Linked DNA regions of Nothobranchius furzeri. The protein of the gene in region 3 purifies or fractionates together with the protein of the main gene of each other region. This does not show direct contact. Links are inferred from orthologs where the notes say so. Each region holds a gene or a part of one and is shown on either strand. Other genes may lie near its edges. The genes, in order: tsen54, tsen2 and tsen15.

Region 1 (5,161 bases), on a different chromosome or scaffold from region 3:
TATTATTCAGCACTTTGAATAAATATTGCGATATAATCTGAAGCATGATTAGTAACATTATTTATCTCAGCCCATTCTTATCTTCTGATTATACGTCAGGATTACAGTTGGAATATTCTCACCTACCAGATACAGGCAGCAACACAAAGACTTAAAAAAGAACAGAATGCCATTTAAAAGACATTAAACGTGCCAAAGTAATAAAAAAAACATAAAACTTTATAGTCATTTTATGGTATGCTATGATTAAAGGGGCATTGTGGAAGTTTGACAGCCAAAACATGTATAGAAATAATAAATGTCTTCTTCATACATTCTCCTGCAATGCCCTGGTCCTGTAGAATGAGCCCTGGCATTTTTACTGTGATTGCCTGTTTTTCTGTAAAATCACAGAAAAAGAGAGATGCTCGGGTCGAGCAGGCTGCTTCATGCGCGTTCACGCTCAGGCATAGCCCGTAGCATTTGCTATCCGTAGCTTTAGCAGCAGAGAGAGAGGCAGTGCCACTTTGTCGCTGTTCCTAACGCCTAGTGACAAAGCTAGCTACGTTTCTGAGGACCCTTAGCTACTTTCTGTGGCACAGGAGTTAAGTGCTCGCCCCGTAATCGGAAGGTTGCAGGTTTGAGCCCCGCTCAGTTTGTCGCTGTCGTTGTGTCCTTGGGCAAGGCACTTAACCCACGTTGCCTGCTGGTGGTGGTCGGAGGGACCGGTGGCACCTGCGCTCGGCAGCCTCGCCTCTCAGTGCGCCCCAGGGCAGCTGTGGCTACATCGTAGCTCATCCCCACCAGTGTGTGAATGTGTGTGTGAATGGGTGAATGACTGATTGTGTTGTAAAGTGCCTTGGGGGGGTTCCAGGACCCTAGAAGGCGCTATATCAAATACAGGCCATTTATTTTTATTTCAAATTTAGTTTAATTAGCTTTTAGCTGTTTGCGAGTTTTAGTTTAGGTTTTATTTAGTTTAAATGTTTAATTGCACATTAACAGTGCTACATGGAATTTGCATTAATGCAATATTAACTTAGTCTTCTTTACAAACTCCTCCTCCTCCACCCGCTCCAGGCTCTCAGCAGCAGACACTCCTTTTGTCCAAAGTAGACGCAGCAGCGTCCATCAGCATGTCCAATCGCAGAAGGCTGAGTCAGAATATCGTTGGCTAAATCCAGATAATTTGTACCATATACTGTTTATATCACCCGTTACTAATAGGATTATATCAAAACAAGCTGCTTCATTAAAAAAATAATTAAAAAAAGGTCAAATCCATTTGATTTGACACAAAATACATAGTGAGATTTTAGAATCGGTGTCTTTCTGGGTTTTGTTTAAAGATAGAACCAAACTGAATAGATAAACGCAGTTTTCCTTGTTTAAAATGAGTGGCAGACTTGTTTGTGTTGTTTTTTTCCAGCTTGGAGCCGTCGTCCTATGTGAGACAGCTGAACCTGCCCCAGTCCCATGAGCGAGGAGGAAGAACGCTGAAGAGGAAACGGAGCGTCAGCCCGACGTCCAGGTAAGCAGCCCGATCCTAAACCCCAAACCACAGTTTCGTTACTGCCTGGTTTAACCATCAAGGGAAATAATCGGGACAAAACTTGCATTTACTGTTTATTTGTTTATCGTAAAAATGCAGCTCAAAGTGTTTTAAAACATGCTACAAATGTTTCAGTTAGAAAAACTCACCAGTTTGTTCAAAAGTATTTACGAGAATCAATAACGAGTGTTTGGTAAAGAAGGACTTCCAGTTAAAAACAACCAGACATCAAAGCTCTGAAAAAGACGTTAAATGAGGAGCAGATGTGCACGTGTGTGGAGGTAAAGCTAAGAAATACAAACGTTTTAAGCTACGATCATTAAGTTAATGTTGGTTAAAAAATGAAGTAAATACGTTTACTTTAAAATGAGAGTTTTAACATTATTATTTGATAAAAACTGCAGCTTCTCCCTAACAAGCACAAGTCTGCAGCTGGTTTGTGTTTTCTCTGCAGTCAGACTGAAACACGAGCTGAATCCCCCGCTGAGAAAATGGAGGAGGATAGTAAACTCCCCGAGTCACTCCTAGTGACCTCTGCAGAACCTCCTGAGGCCCAGAACGCCTCCATCAGCTCTGCAGATGACAGTCGGGTCAGAACCTGGAGGACCTGGAATGGTCCTGGACGAGACTCTGAGAAAACCTTGATCACCGCCTCTTCATCTGCTCGCTCACGCTGGGACTTCAGCACCATCTTCTTCCCGGACCTGGGCCACGGGGGCCAGCGCCCCAGCTGCATGGCCCCCCCGGACCCGTCGCTGCTGCCTGCAGATCTGACGGCTGGAGTTTGTGACGTCGCAGCTTGGAGGCACAAAATAAACCTGCGACATGTGAAGATGTCTGCAAAAGAGAGGAAGAGGGAGCAGCACAAACACAGGCGGTGGCGGGACATGAACAAAGACAAAGAGGTAAAAACTAAACATATCACGGGTGGATAAGTCACACTTATTTATTTGTTTATTTAAAGGTTCGCAGGTGCAGTAACTGGGCGGAGTATCACGACCTCTTGGCAAGGCGGCAGGCGAAGCCCCGAGGCCAACCTGCTCACTTATGGAACGCGGAGGTTGAGCCTTTACACAACCCGACTCGACCCCTCTCCACTGGTGAGCTGGTGAAGGATCTGAGTGTTTATCGGTTTAACTCTGATTAAAAACTCAATATCTGTGTTTCCTATCAGCGGAGCTGCTGGACAAAATCAGCGTGATTAAATCTACACATCTGCTAGACGGAGCATCCAGGTACTGAATGCTTTTATGAGACGTTAAAGGCGGAGAAGTCTTACGAATGTGTTTGATGTGAAACAGTAGATCTAATCCGTCTGATAATCACGCTTCAGAACCTTTTATTTACCCACTCGGATGTGGTTTAACACTCCCAGTTGGGGACAAAAGTCCAACTCTCGCTAATATTTTAACAGCTGAAAGAAAATCATAAGCAACACTAAAAACACTGATTTCAAAACTATATTGATAGGATTACTAATGCCATAACAACATTGCTGTTTAATTCATACCATTTGAAGCTTTTTATAACTTTTCATGCATTTTCTGTTAAAACCCAAATTTATTTTTTATCTTTTTGGTAATTTTAATGTTTTCATTCATGTTTCTGTTGCTTCTCCACCTCTTACCTTCTCTAAAGTCCGTTTCTATGTTTAGCTAAGATTTTACACTTTTGATATAATCTTTAGTTTGTGAATTCTTCCCTTTTTCCAACTAATCTTTTTATTTTTCTCTGTCTTCAGTTTCTTTATGCAAAACATTTTTAAACTGAGAATCATTCTGATGGCTTTTTCTGTCTTAATAATTGTCTGATTTTCATTTGTTTGGTCTGCCGTATTGACCTAAGAGTTTATCTGTTGGCCCTTAATTATATTTTATTTTACTGGCAACTTTTACCATTTCACTCTCATAAAAATGACTCGAAACTCCCCAAAAGATAAGTTTTGGCTTTTTGAAATATATTTTATTCTTCTGAAAAGGCTAAAGATCTCTAGAAAACTCACAAAGCACAAATATTTGACATTAAGTCTAAAAGTGTTCAAACACAGTCTGTAATGGTAACAATTAGGGATGTGAATGTTGGAGCAACTCACGATTTGATTCGATTCTGATTCTTAGGATGTCGATTCGATTCAGAATTGATTCTCGATTTAAATCGATTCACAATCAGTATTAACAAAGAGTGTCGGCTCCAGGATGAACTACTTTGTTGTACAAGTTATTTAAAGCTACGGGACATTTTTATTAGACTTTAAACTGGTCATGCTCCAAAAATGCAAATTTACAAGGTAAAATAAAGTGATTCTAAAACTGTAAACAGAAACAATCTTTTGACCAAAAGGCAACATTTATTTTTGCTTACCTTGTAAAATATAACACATGATCTGTAGTTACCTAACAGTAGCTGTGAAAGTAATATGGTCAAATACTTTTCAAGTATGTGTAGAAACAAGTTACATGAGTAATCCTGAGTACTCATTTATCAACTTAGAAAATGAATATGAGAATATCTCAAATTTCTGAGTATGGAAAAAATGACATTCAAGGGCCCTCTTATCAGCAGATTCAAACATAAATCATCTCAATTTATGGGACCACAAAAGTAATCAATCAATCAATCAAAGCTTTATTTATAAAGCGCCTTCCGCAACCCTGTCAGGAAGCCCAAAGCGCTGAACATGGTACAGTTGTAAGTAATTATACACAATAAATCAACAATAAAAGAAATTCAAATTACAAAATACAAAATGGAAATTACAAGATAGATGAAACATTCCGGTAAAATACAAATGTGTGAGACACAATTGGATTGAGTGGATGGATTGAGTGTACCAATGAAAACTGTGGAATGGATTCAACATAATAGAGGGCCATAATCAAACATGTTCTGGAAACGCCAAGCGGAGGAGGTGTGATTTTAGGTGATTCTTAAAGACTGGCAGAGAAGGGGACAGCCTAACTGAGGGTGGCAACTGGTTCCAGAGTAACGGTGCTAGGACTGAGAAAGCCCGGTCCCCACGGGTACGACACCTAGACCGAGGGACAGCGAGCAGGCCTTGGTCAGAGGAGCGCAGAGCGCGTGATGGGGAATGTCTGTTCAGGAGTGTGGCCAGATAGGGGGAGCACCACCCTGGAAGAAATGATAAACAAAGACGAGTATTTTGAATTGTGAGCGATAGCAAATCAGAAGCCAGTGCAGGGAGGCCAGAACTGGACTGATGTGGTCCCGTTTCCTGGTCCCATTCAGGAACCTGGCAGCGCTGTTCTGCACAACCTGTAGGCGACGCAGTGTTGACTGACACAACCCTGCGTAGAGAGAGTTGCAGTAGTCAAGCTGAGAAATTACAAAGGCATGCAGTACCTGCTCCAGGTGAGCTCTCGACAGCATATGCTTGATTTTAGCAAGGCGTCTCAGGTGAAAGAAACTGGACCGGATCACAGAATTGATGTGAGCATCAAATTTAAGTCCTACATCAAGTTTCACCCCCAAACTGGTAACAACTGGTTTTGAGTATGGAGAAAGAGGGCCAAGATCAGCATAACGATCCACATTCCTGCTGTTGGGGTGAAAAACAATGAGCTCTGTCTTTCCCTCATTCAGATGTAGATAGTTGGACATTAGCCAAGACTT
Region 2 (5,948 bases), on a different chromosome or scaffold from region 3:
GCAGTTAAATCACATCTTGTTCGTTTCATTTGATATCCATTGTGGTGGTGTATAGAGCCAAAGATGTTAGCATTGTGTCGATGCCCCAATATCTACGGACCTGACTGTATGTGGCTGTTTTTACGGACGGGGGTGTGCAGTTAGTGCTGATATGTGACACACTGACAGGTTACTACCTGAACCTTCAACCTGCTCAGGCACACAGGTGAGTCCAGCTCTGCCTCCAATAGGTCAGCGGGGTATATGACGTAACACAACATCAGCTCCTGACGAACACACACAGATTAGCATCAGTAGAGTCAGAATAATGGCCATGTATGACGGCACAAACCTGGCAGGACATTACCTTGGAGACGTTTGCTGTGATCCTGCTGAGAGCGGCCAGAGAACGCCATGAAAACGGACGCAGAGCCATGCCCCTGAATGTTTCATCTGTCCTTTCAACTACCACGGAATAACTACAGGAAGAGAACAGGGACAATCTGAGGGACACGGAGGACACCAGAATATTGGGAGCAGTTAAGTGTAAGAAATGAAGATATGGGTCCTGTAAATAGAGGAAATATGTTTAGTCACTGAGGAGGAGTTAGGAAGCTCGTAGGACCCCAGTTCAGACCGTAACTGGACAGGGACGAGTCATAGGAACAGGTTCATCATCTACCAGGACATGGATCACTCGGTTCCAGCAACAGAGAACAAATAAAAATGTATTGGAAAAAAAATCTATTCACTTATGAGAGATGGTAAAATTATCTCCGTCAATCATACGAGTGTAGATCTGCAGACTAAACCATCATTTATTCCAGAGGCCAAACTCCTACAGCTACTGGCAGACTCTGTGTGTGTGTGTGTGTGTGTGTGTGTGTGTGTGTGTGTGTGTGTGTGTGTGTGTGTGTGTGTGTGTGTGTGTGTGTGTGTGTGTGTGTGTGTGTGTGTGTGTGTGTGTGTGTGTGTGTGTGTGTGTGTGTGTGTGTGTGTGTGTACTTTTAACTTTAACCTGTAACGCAAGGACATTTTTACACTGTGGGGATATTTTGCTGGTCCACACAACGCTAAGCACCCAAACACTTGGTTCTAGAGGTATGGTGTGAATTCACTTAGTTTAGGTTAGGGTTAAAAATAGAACCCCATGGGTTTTGCTTAGGATTAGGAAAAGTGAAGTCACAAAAATGAAAGGAAGTCAATGGAGGGTCCACACAAGGATACGGAGACAAGTACGACTGTGTGTGTGTGTGTGTTACCTGGCATGGTAGAAAGGCGGTCCTTTCCTGTATAACACTGGAAACAAACACAGACTGAATGTTTCTCAGAGTCATCATCGTTACCTTAAATCTGACAGCACCAGAGCATTTTTGGGTAAATCTGCTCTGATTGTTGACTGACTAGATATTTGTGTGATTTCTGTTCTTACTGAGATCGGCACCATACTTGGCCCCGCCTCCTCCTTTAGGGACCCACCCCTTGCTGCGAAAATGATGATAAGCAGCGTACAAGCTGATGAAGTCAGGATGAAGCGATCGGAACTTCCTCCAAAGCTGGATGATTGACAGTGGCTCCTGACCAATCACAGGAGAGAACAGAGACAAGTTCAACTCTTTATGATAGGAACCAAGCGATGAACTAACACTACACACCTGCTGAAGGTAGACGGAAAGGCAACCCAGACTGTAGACCAGGAAGAAGGCCTGTAGGTCAGCAGACAGGTGAGTGGGCAGGTAAATACTGAAGCAAACCTAATCAAAGTCCATGACTCAGGTGTGTTACCTCCTCCAGACCAAGTTGCAGGTACTCTGTGAAAGACAGTGGACTCCGCCTCACCTCTCTGACTCCTCCTCCGTCCTGCAGCCATACGACAGCAAATCATCAACAACAGAAGCAGCTCAGAAACACAACAGGACCTGCAGCTTCAGAGACCCACCTGACCTTCAGAGACCACCAGGACAAAACCAGGACCTGGAACCATAAGACCATTATCGAGATCCGAGTCAGAGGCTGGATCAGGACCAGAATCTGGGGTTGAGTCAGAGTCCTGTTCAGAGCTAGAATCAGGATCCTGTTGATTTGATCTGAATGTTGACAAGAAAAAGGTTTATTCGGTCGAAGAAAACCAACTGATCAAAACTCCTTGCACGCTGGCCTGAATTCACAGCTCCCTCCATCAGCCTCTTTGTGCTACTGCTGTACCTGCATTATGTTTCCCTGGTCTCAAAGGCTTTCTGCTGCATTTAAAATCCTATAAACCTATGCCTGTTGACCAACTTGGGGCTTCATCAGACTCACTGGGGTTCTTTTGGGGATTTAGCTGGTCTATGTTGGCCCATTAGGGATACAGAGAGCCCCATAGCACTGACCCAAGAACCCTCCCAGGCCAAACGGCAGTTCTCTGGATAGAAATCTGGACCTTCATGCAAGCTCAGATGGACCAAGAACCTGCTGTTTCTATCAGCTTCAACACAGTCATGAAAATCTTCACTCTAGATTGATCTGTCATTCTACAAATGCTGTCCTGAGCCAGAATTTGTGTTTGACCTCTCAGTCCTTTTGAATATCACCTGTACCTTTCATTTTTAACCATGTCTTTAGTTTATTGGTACTTTAGCAGGACCTTCAGGGTTCTAACAAAGCCAAGTGTGCTGGTTTGACATAAAACAGTCTACATTTACCTGCAGCCTCTCTTGGCTTCTGGCTCCACCTCTGACTCCAACCTCTGCCCCTTTGGGAGATCACAGGCTTCTATTGGCTTCACCTCTTCTTCCTCCTCCCTTGTTCCGTTCTCCCCCTCTGCCTGCCCTCCTCCCAACTCCTTCTTTACATCTTCAATGTCCACTGCCCGAGTCAACGCGAGCAGGGTTTTACCGAACACTTCTTCATCCAGTCCTTCAGCAGAGAGAGCCTCCTTTGCCCATCTGAGCAGCTCCTCATACCTGTGAAAGATAACGTGTGACATCATCATAACAGAAGTGATGTCACTGTGTGAACAGGTAGCTTATGATGGCACTGACCTGGATGGAGAGACAACAGGCAGAAGTAGACCTGCGTGTTCTGTAACACAAACAGAGACCAGGTGTGAACAGCACAGACTGGACCAGACTGACAGTGACATCACTGCAGGTGTCAACTCACGCTCCCATTTGTCCGAGACGCTGTGGTTGGGCCTGGCTCTGGACAGAACACCTTTTCCAAAGAAACCCTGAAAACAACAAACTCTGGTCAGTCTAGATGTGTTCTACTGACAGCTTTCAGAAGGTCAGGGGGCTAAGTGTGGAGGAACCGGGAAGGAACCAGTGGAAGGTCTCAAGGATCTCTGAACAACCCAGAGCTGTCAGTCAAAACAAACTACATTTTACGTGAGACTCGCCTGCCTCCGATTCAAACCAAACAACCGAGTGGACAGAAATGGAATAAAAACTAAAGGCAGGCTGACAGGAGACGAAGAACAAGACCTGGTTTCTAATGTGAACGAACTCTGACCTGGTTGTGGATCTTCTGGATGTGGTCCGGATGACAGACCAGAACCTGCTGGTTGATGAGCTCCGCTCGGTAGACCTTCCTCTCATGCGGGTCCCGGCTCACCGGCAGCGGAGCCTCGTAGTCCTCATAAACCCGGGTTCGTCGTTGGGGAGCCCGGAACTCTGCCCGCATGGTGCCGGCTCCGGCAGAGCCCGCGCTGGTTCCGGGCTGATGGTGAGAACTGTAGGGTCGGTATTATTCTGTTAGCGCATCTGTTAGCACTCAGCGAGGGGACTTGTTTTACTGTCGGACGAGGCAGTGTAACTAAATATATGTTCGTGCGCCAACATCGGCTAATTTTATCGGTTCCTCCTACAGCTGAAATGTTATTTTCATGTGATTTTTGTCTGAAGTATAATCTACAATAAACCGGTACTTCACTTTATCTTCAGAAGCTTTTAAAACGTTGACTTTTTGTTCACTTTACGGTTCTAATTGATTCAGACACTTGTTTCTGTTTGAGTCTGAAACAGGCCACACATAAATTTTTATTTACAAAATAAATAAAACAATACAAAACAAAGTTAGGAAGGACCAAAGACTCAAACAAAAACAGAACATGAAATCAGTTTCACTTATTCACAATGTCAGACAATTAAATGAATAATAAATATTCTCTGAAACACCAGAACAGACCAAACCCACCGAAACCCCCGGGTCAGAGGTCCTCTCCATTATGGTGATGTTTGTGTTTTTAGATATTTGCTTTATATCTGCAGTGTTTCTTTAAGTGTTACATTTAAATTTAGAATTTTGGTATTTTGGGGGTAATGACATCCTGATTAAGTTGGTTTAACTGGTGGGCGTGGTGTCCTCCTGTCTGTCCACCACATAATACTGGTGTTTCTGGATGTGCTGGTACAGCGTGGTGTATTTGGACACCCTCCTCATCTTGGGCAGGATGAAGCAGTGGGTGAAGTCTTCTCTGCTCAGAGGGCTGCGTCCCTCTGCCTCCAGGATGCTGTTCAGGAAGTGAAGACAGAAGCTGAAGCAGTTGTGGTCGTCCTCGTGGAACCTGAGATACACACTGGTGGTCAGGTGGTGGTCGGAGAGAACTTTGGATGTCTCACATGAAACTTACTTGTGCCACACAGGATCCCACATGGGTCCATCAGAGAAACGCTCCAGGTACTGGTCCCACTGATCCAGCAGGTGGAACATATCAGGTCGGACCAGCGGGACACTGATGCAGCATTCCCATCCGCTTTGGTCCCGTTGCACGCCATCCTGAGTGTAGTTGTACACAACTCCTAAGACACACAGGTGGGACACTCAGGTGAGACACACAGGTGGGACACTCAGGTGAGACACTCAGGTGAGACACTCAGGTGAGACACTCAGGTGAGACACTCAGGTGAGACACACAGGTGAGACACACAGGTGGGACACTCAGGTGAGACACTCAGGTGGGACACAAACACAAACAGGCAAATCTTTACATCAAACCATTTTATAACTTTTTCATTTATTTTTGTTTCTTCCTTCTTAGATATTGTCGCTCACATCTTTTTGACTTTTTCTTTTCTCTCCTGAAGGTCAAAGATCAACATGAACTTCTCCTGTAAGCAAGGCTTCGTAGAGGTGTGTGAACACACAAATTTCTGATGGTGGCTTCCGTTTGAGTGTGACTTCCTCCTAACAGCATCTTTGCTGCTGCTGCAATTGGCTGTTCAGTCGATAGTGCTGATAAACAGTTTCTGCTCTGAACATCTGGCTCTCTTCAGTGCTTGAGTCCATTTAACCCTCGCAGACCCGGTCCAACACGCCTCAGGTCGAGCTTTTACCTTTAGTGTCAGAGATGCCGGTGTGCAGATCGGACGTCCCGTCAAAGTCTCTGAGACACAAACAGCAGAAAATGCTGGTTAGACTAATTCAAACTGGTTTGAACTGGAACATACCAGGTGACACTGGTTACAATTAGATGATAAAAAAGCTTCATGTGATTCAGCCAAAGAATTCACAGCTCTACTGCTGCAGTGATCTCCCATCATGCACACACACACAAGGTCCAGAACCTTTTGGCCTGGCAGCTGTTCCGTGTCATTCAGACCAGAGTGGCAGTCTCAGTCCAGGCTGGTCTCCTCTGGTTCCATCGTGTAGGAAAGCATGAAGGTTCTTGTTACCACCAAATGGTAAAAATGGCCTGTATTTGTATAGAGCCTTCTAGAGTCCTACAACCCCCCAAGGCGCCTCACAACCCAACAGTCATCCACCCATGAACACACACTGGGGCGCACTGACGGGCACCTGTGACACCCTCTGGACTCGAGCAGATTCTGAACTTCTGTTCAGGTGCGATGTTGGTGTTCACACCAGGTTTATGACTGAAGCCTGGTTCTGACCCACTGAATCTGACCTGTATTTACCTGTGTGAGAACCACCTGTATGCTCCTACCTGTCGTGGTTGTCCCGTGCAGGGGCGACCAGCAGGCAGCAGG
Region 3 (5,831 bases):
CTGTTGTCTCTGAGTGAATACGAAGCTGTTATCTAATCCCTGCAATAAAAAGTTCCAATCTTCCGGTTAAAATAACCCAACAGATCCATAAGGTTTTGTCTTATGGCTCATGAAATAACCTGTAATTTCATTCATTACACTCTGTTAAACCCTCCAATAACAGAGAACAGCCATGATGTGTGTGGACGACTGAGGCCCTGTCCACACGTAGCCGGGGATCTGCCAAAACGTAGATATTTTTCTACGTTTTGGCCTGTCATCCACACGAAAACGGAGTTTTTTACATGAAAACGGATCTTTTTAAAAACTCCGGCCAAAGTGAAGATCTGCGTTTTCTCCGTTTTGGGTGTCTGCGTGTGGACGGACAAAACCGGAGTTTTAAGGTCTGCAACGTCACTTTCCGCGACAAAAAATGCTGACATCACGTGTGCGACCTGTGTTTACACTAGCCGGCAGCATGGAAGCCCTCAGAGCTGCGCTCGCTTTATCAATGGTCCAAGCGCTTTTTGCTTGTTTGTTTTTGCAAGAGGAATTACTGCTCCTTGCGGAAGACCACAGACGAAGGACGAGGTTAAGAACGGGGGAAGTACTGCCGCCTACAGGTCTGGCATGTCCTTAACAACGTATTTATCCGGGTACGTGTGGAGAGTTTTTTTTAAACGCGGTGGTGTGGATGCAAGTTTTTGGAGGGGCGGATATTCGTTTTTAAAAACCCCGGCTACGTGTGGACTAGGCCTGAGACCTCCACTACTGCGGTTCCCCCGTTCTACCACTGGATGCTGTTCACACGCACGGCCAGAGCTGTTCTTTTATTTAGCAACATTTCACGCACAAGCACTAACTGGTAAACACCGCGCAATGCGTAAAGTTGGTCCTGCGCACGAAATTCTGTTCGTGAATACGGTTGATAAATGACGGCCCTGGGCTGTAACACAGAGGTCACTGGTTCATAACACCAGCAGGGTGCATGTCTTGCTCAAGGACACAACAGACAGAGGCCGGGGTTGAGGCTGAGACGGTGGATGAGGCGGCTCAACTGGTGAGCTGATCGCTGAATGGACCGAAACCCAACACGGTCCTGTAGCCCACCGCTGTGGTTTTTATGGCCGGTACCAATTTTTATAGGATTTTGTTGCAGATGGCCGACACCTAAAGCCGATTATTAGCCCGATATATAAATCCATTTTAGCAGCTCACCCATTGTGAAATGAACACTCACTGTGTGCTATATTAATTAAATAAGTCGAACCTCTTAAGATTTTTTAACTTCAAATGTAAAACTAACTTAAAACATAAAAAACGGTGTGTTGGCGTCCTTTTTTCACTCCAGTAGTGGCAGCAGTTGGCCCCACCGGTGCCTGATTTATTTATTTATTTTAATCGGCTTTCAAAAATAATTTTGACCGACGGCCAAATTGGCCGGCTGATATTTGGGTCGGCCGCTACTTCCCTGGTTCTTGAATTCAGCGCTGCTAATTCCTGCTATCTGATCACCCCCCCCAGTAACCGGAGGGTTGCAGGATCAATCCCCCGTTGCAGTCGTGTCCTCGAGCAAGACTTCCAACAACACAAAAGTCAGTTTTAATAAAACAAGCTTGGAGACATCATAGTTTGATTTGGGAGAAGGTTTAAACCCGGCTGCAGATGTCAGCCGTCAGGCCCCGTCTGCATCTGCTGCTCACTTAAAGAATCATCACAGCTGGATCACAAGTGATGTTTACTTTGTGTTCGGATCGGATATCAAAGACATAAAAATAACAGCAAAGTTAGTAAACCTTTGGTTTCGCCAGACCATCAGCAGCATCCTGATGTGGGACGTTCAACCCGCACACCGGCACCAGAACCTGGTGAAGGCCCACGTTGAGGTCACGCTCACTCTTGTGGCTCATTCTTCATATTCTGAACTTGGGCCACAGGCCGGACCTCCAGCCTGTCAGGGTGCTGGTTTAAATGCACCCTCCTCCGCACTCTCCGCCTACACATCCATCACTGCTTTCTTCTCCGCTGCTTCTGCCGACGACCCGCATCATGGAAAAGTCCCACGGGGGGTTCTGGAGTCACCAACCCGTCGGTCATCCTCTGATAAACCAGGGTGGAGTCGGACGCCACGGCACACAGCAGCAAAGGGAACCCGCGGTCCAGAAGGTGGCGTATGCTGCACAGCAGGGACAAAGGCTCTGTGACTGAATGTAAGCAGGGATGTCGGTTGAAGTCTAAGTTTTTCTCACCTCCTGTGGCTCAGGGAACGGTGAACAGGCAGAGGCAGAACCGTCTGAACTGGACCTCCATCCTTCTCCTTGGCTTCCAGCAGAACCAGCTGCAGCTCTGGACTCTCGGCATAGGTCACCTTCGTCCACTGGCGCACTGCAGAGGGCAAGAATCAGAGCGAGAGAGATGACCGAGTCAAGAGGAGGTCCTTTTCATTTCTGTATCACGTCCGCAGGAGGTTCTCCTTGGCCCGTGTGGGCCGGTTCTACCTGCATGTTAGAGGAGAACAAACCCGAGCCGAGTCGGGCCTAACTCACCCTCAGTGAGGTCCATGAACACCAGAAAAGCTGCGTGCAGCTGTGTGCTGTCTCCAACCTCCAGTTCCTTCATCTGCTGGTACTAGCACAACAAAGACTCAGAGATCCAAACACCCGACAGACTGGACTGTTTACCTCATACGTCACCCTTTCACTACCTCGTTACCACACTCGGGACCAAATGTGAACTTCCTTCTCCTTTTGAGTCTAAATTTCAAAGACCGACAGTCTGAAACTTAGCCAGGATATTGGTGGATGCTTCCACCCTCAGGCCCGTGGTCCATAGACCTCCACTATGCTATGCTTTTCCACTTCCCCCTTTCCTGTAAACATCTACATAACCAAGCCTCTACCATGAGTAAGAGGGTTTTAGGTGTGGTGAACAGCCTCGGAGAAGGGTCAGGTGAGTTTACCTGGTGTGGATGAGTTCAGACTGATTGAAGCAAGAGTGTGACAAACGAGCCACCTGTCCAGGTGTTTTCTGCTCTCTGTAAAATGTTCTGGGGTTAGGGAAGACATCGGTGCATCCCTGATTGAACTAGCTTTTTGGCCAACCAGCACGCGCCAGGCGGGCTTGTTCCTCGGTTCTGCGCTTGGCCCCCACAGGTGGGTTGGCCAGCCGACGGACATCCGGTGCGGGTTCACCGTGGGTTGCCCTCGTTTATCTGTGGGATTTGTCGAGTTCGGGTATTTATTTATGTTTTTTCATTTGCCACGATGCCCACAGATCAGCTCTGCAACCGGTTTACGACGGACCTTTCAGGGTCCTTGAGCCAGGCCCAATATATTTCCTCCTTGGTGTACGGGGGTCAGGAGATGGTGTCCGCAGATGGGCTTCATGTGGAAACTCATCACATTTATGGCCTCAGGGTAAAGAGCTGCCCACAGCCAGGTCACTCTGAGGCTAATAATGTCACATCAGTAGAATAAAAAATGCTAAAAATTGGATGTTACAGTTTTGATCTTATTTTACTTCTTTCTTTATACATTTACATGTACCAATACTTTTTCTGACACGTTTTTTAACGTTACTAATGAAATTTGAGTAAAACGACCCGTTAGTACTGAAGGATAACATATCAGATGTGCCTCTTCTCTAAGGTTCGCTAGCGGTGCCAGAGGGCGCACTGGTGACGTCATGCTTCCGCCACCGGCTCCTCCACTCACCACCGGGTGCTGCAGGATCCAGTTCGGAGGTTCGGTCTCGCCTCGCTTCTTCGTTCCGTCCATCACTTCCGCCATGTTTGTAACTGAACGTTAGAACCGAACATCGTATTTAAACGCAGGAGGGCTGAAGCTGAGCGGCTCAGCACCAGAGCGTTGGTGGTGCGTTACAATAGTTTGTCCGGGTGGGAAAAGGAACGCTTATATTTGGTTCCGCAAACCGGAAGAGCATAGGAAAATTACCGCTGTGTAATATTATAGTGCACCGTTTTATTTGAGGAAAACCGTGAAAATACTTAAAAAATAAAACAACAAACTTATTTAGCTTGTAACAAATTTGACTTTTAGTTTAGTAGACCGTGAGTCTGCTACAGATTATTAACCACAGGGCAGGGGGTCAGGACTGTGCTCAAAAAGTGATGTTACTGATCCATTCTAAAAGAATGTCAAATCATTCAAACAAATTAGATTTGTTATTCATTATTTGAAACTGACTAGTTAATAAACAAAATGTTTAGATTTTCAGAATATCTTCTTTTATATATTAATGTGTTGAAATGTAGAAATAAACTTGTGAAAACAAAGCATTCTTATTTAGCAAGCATGGCATTTTTAACAAACATATTTACACGTAAAGTGCCAGTGTGAATAAATCGTATGGCTCTTCGGTACTTTCATTGTGTAAAAGTAGCTCACGGGCCAAAAAAGGTTGGAGACCCCTGATCTAAACAAAGAGCAGAAGTCTAAAGAACGGCAGATTCAGACGTAGCTGTGAAATCCAGAAACAACAGCCCGATAAGCTCGTTTCACTTGCAGTGAACTCATTTGACTTTGAGGCCTAGGTCCTGTTTGAGTCCCACGCAGAACAATGTGAACACGTGGGTAGGGCCAGATGTGCCCTGGATGTAGTACTGGAATGTTGCACTAGGGGGCACACAAGATCACTCAGACCAGATAGAGCCGTTTTTGTGGGTACAACCAGAACCTACTTAAGCCCCATTCCCATCTGTACCGGGTCGGCCCGGGCCGGGTAGCCCCAGTCGGCCCCAGTCTGGCCCGGTTGTTTCCACACATCCTTGTCTTAAGCCCATGTGGGCTGATTCTACCCACCAATCAGAGGCTTGCTCTAATGGAAGGTGTGAATTTGCTGTCAGCAGTGGGTGTGTTGGCCCTGGTCGGCCTGAAGCAGACCCCCTCGAGAAGAGGGCTGAGAACGAGCCCTGGTTGGCCCGGAAAAATACCAGGCCACCCAGATATGTAAACAACCTACGCTACCCGGCCCGGGCCGACCCGGTACAGGTGGGAATGGGGCTTTAGGTAGGTCACTTTGACTTTAAGGCATGCTACTTTGACCACCCTATCGGTCTTTATTAGAAGGAAAATGTAATGCTGTCAACATCAGCGAGGCTCACAATGGCGACGGAAACTGTCATGAGATGAAGATAAACTGCTACACTGTCTATTAAACAAGAAAACATCAATGGAAACTGAAAAGAAACACAGAAAGAGGATAAAATGTGTGACGGAAGGTCGTGTTTTATTCCTACTGATAGAATAACAAAAGCACAGAAACAATACTTTTATTTCACAAAGGAAGAAAGCAGTGTAAGCAAACCCTGAAAACATGGGATATCAGTACTGCTCCACATATGAAGAGAAGAAGAACGCCACAGGAATGATTGGTCATTGATATGTAATAACTGAATCAGCAAAAAGACAAGAAATAAGAACATGTTTATGTTTGGATGCTGACTCAAACTCCAATGGCACCTGAGAATATAAATGTTACACAGCAATTATTTAGTTCCTCAAATCAACTAAAGCTTTAATAATAGATCCTAAAATGACATTATACAAAAGAATCCACACTCTTGTCCAACGGGCATAGATCTGAACTAGTGTGGTTAACAGAAACCATCATTTAGGCAGAAAGCTGGGACACCACAGAGCCCAGCCGGCGGGTCGGACCCGTGTATTGCATAGGGAGTGTGTGGGGGGGTGAAGAAGGGCGGGTGGAATCTGAGCAGACTGAAAACCAGGACGTGGCGAGGTAAGTTCTGGGGAGTCTGCGGCAAACAGCATTTGTTCCTCAGGTGGGCCGCCGCTGTGTTGGAGGTTACTGCCAGCAGCAACCAAAGCACC

The links.
Region 1: the proteins of tsen15 (region 3) and tsen54 purify together in Homo sapiens (affinity purification with mass spectrometry; 4 studies listed by BioGRID and IntAct, counting the BioPlex papers as one, with this or other methods). This does not show direct contact. The link is inferred for Nothobranchius furzeri from reciprocal best matches to the Homo sapiens genes TSEN15 and TSEN54.
Region 2: the proteins of tsen15 (region 3) and tsen2 purify together in Homo sapiens (affinity purification with mass spectrometry; 4 studies listed by BioGRID and IntAct, counting the BioPlex papers as one, with this or other methods). This does not show direct contact. The link is inferred for Nothobranchius furzeri from reciprocal best matches to the Homo sapiens genes TSEN15 and TSEN2.

The regions. Positions count from the first base shown.
Region 1 is NC_091745.1:25,418,363-25,423,523, forward strand, and holds part of tsen54 (tRNA-splicing endonuclease subunit Sen54), read left to right. Parts: intron 1-1,408; coding exon 1,409-1,510; intron 1,511-1,985; coding exon 1,986-2,436; intron 2,437-2,495; coding exon 2,496-2,631; intron 2,632-2,705; coding exon 2,706-2,766; intron 2,767-5,161.
Region 2 is NC_091743.1:77,138,251-77,144,198, reverse strand, and holds the start of tsen2 (tRNA-splicing endonuclease subunit Sen2), read right to left. Parts: upstream 3,772-5,948; 5' UTR 3,643-3,771; coding exon 3,472-3,642; intron 3,191-3,471; coding exon 3,124-3,190; intron 3,043-3,123; coding exon 3,003-3,042; intron 2,925-3,002; coding exon 2,664-2,924; intron 2,067-2,663; coding exon 1,919-2,066; intron 1,840-1,918; coding exon 1,765-1,839; intron 1,686-1,764; coding exon 1,635-1,685; intron 1,557-1,634; coding exon 1,412-1,556; intron 1,279-1,411; coding exon 1,242-1,278; intron 459-1,241; coding exon 347-458; intron 267-346; coding exon 177-266; intron 1-176. Other genes in the region: MKRN2 opposite strand protein, read right to left, coding at 4,303-4,525, 4,592-4,760, 5,295-5,344, 5,906-5,948.
Region 3 is NC_091751.1:70,462,186-70,468,016, forward strand, and holds tsen15 (tRNA-splicing endonuclease subunit Sen15), read right to left. Parts: upstream 3,889-5,831; 5' UTR 3,768-3,888; coding exon 3,693-3,767; intron 2,608-3,692; coding exon 2,526-2,607; intron 2,365-2,525; coding exon 2,229-2,364; intron 2,156-2,228; coding exon 1,987-2,155; 3' UTR 1,701-1,986; downstream 1-1,700. UniProt on the Homo sapiens protein: Non-catalytic subunit of the tRNA-splicing endonuclease complex, a complex responsible for identification and cleavage of the splice sites in pre-tRNA. It cleaves pre-tRNA at the 5' and 3' splice sites to release the intron.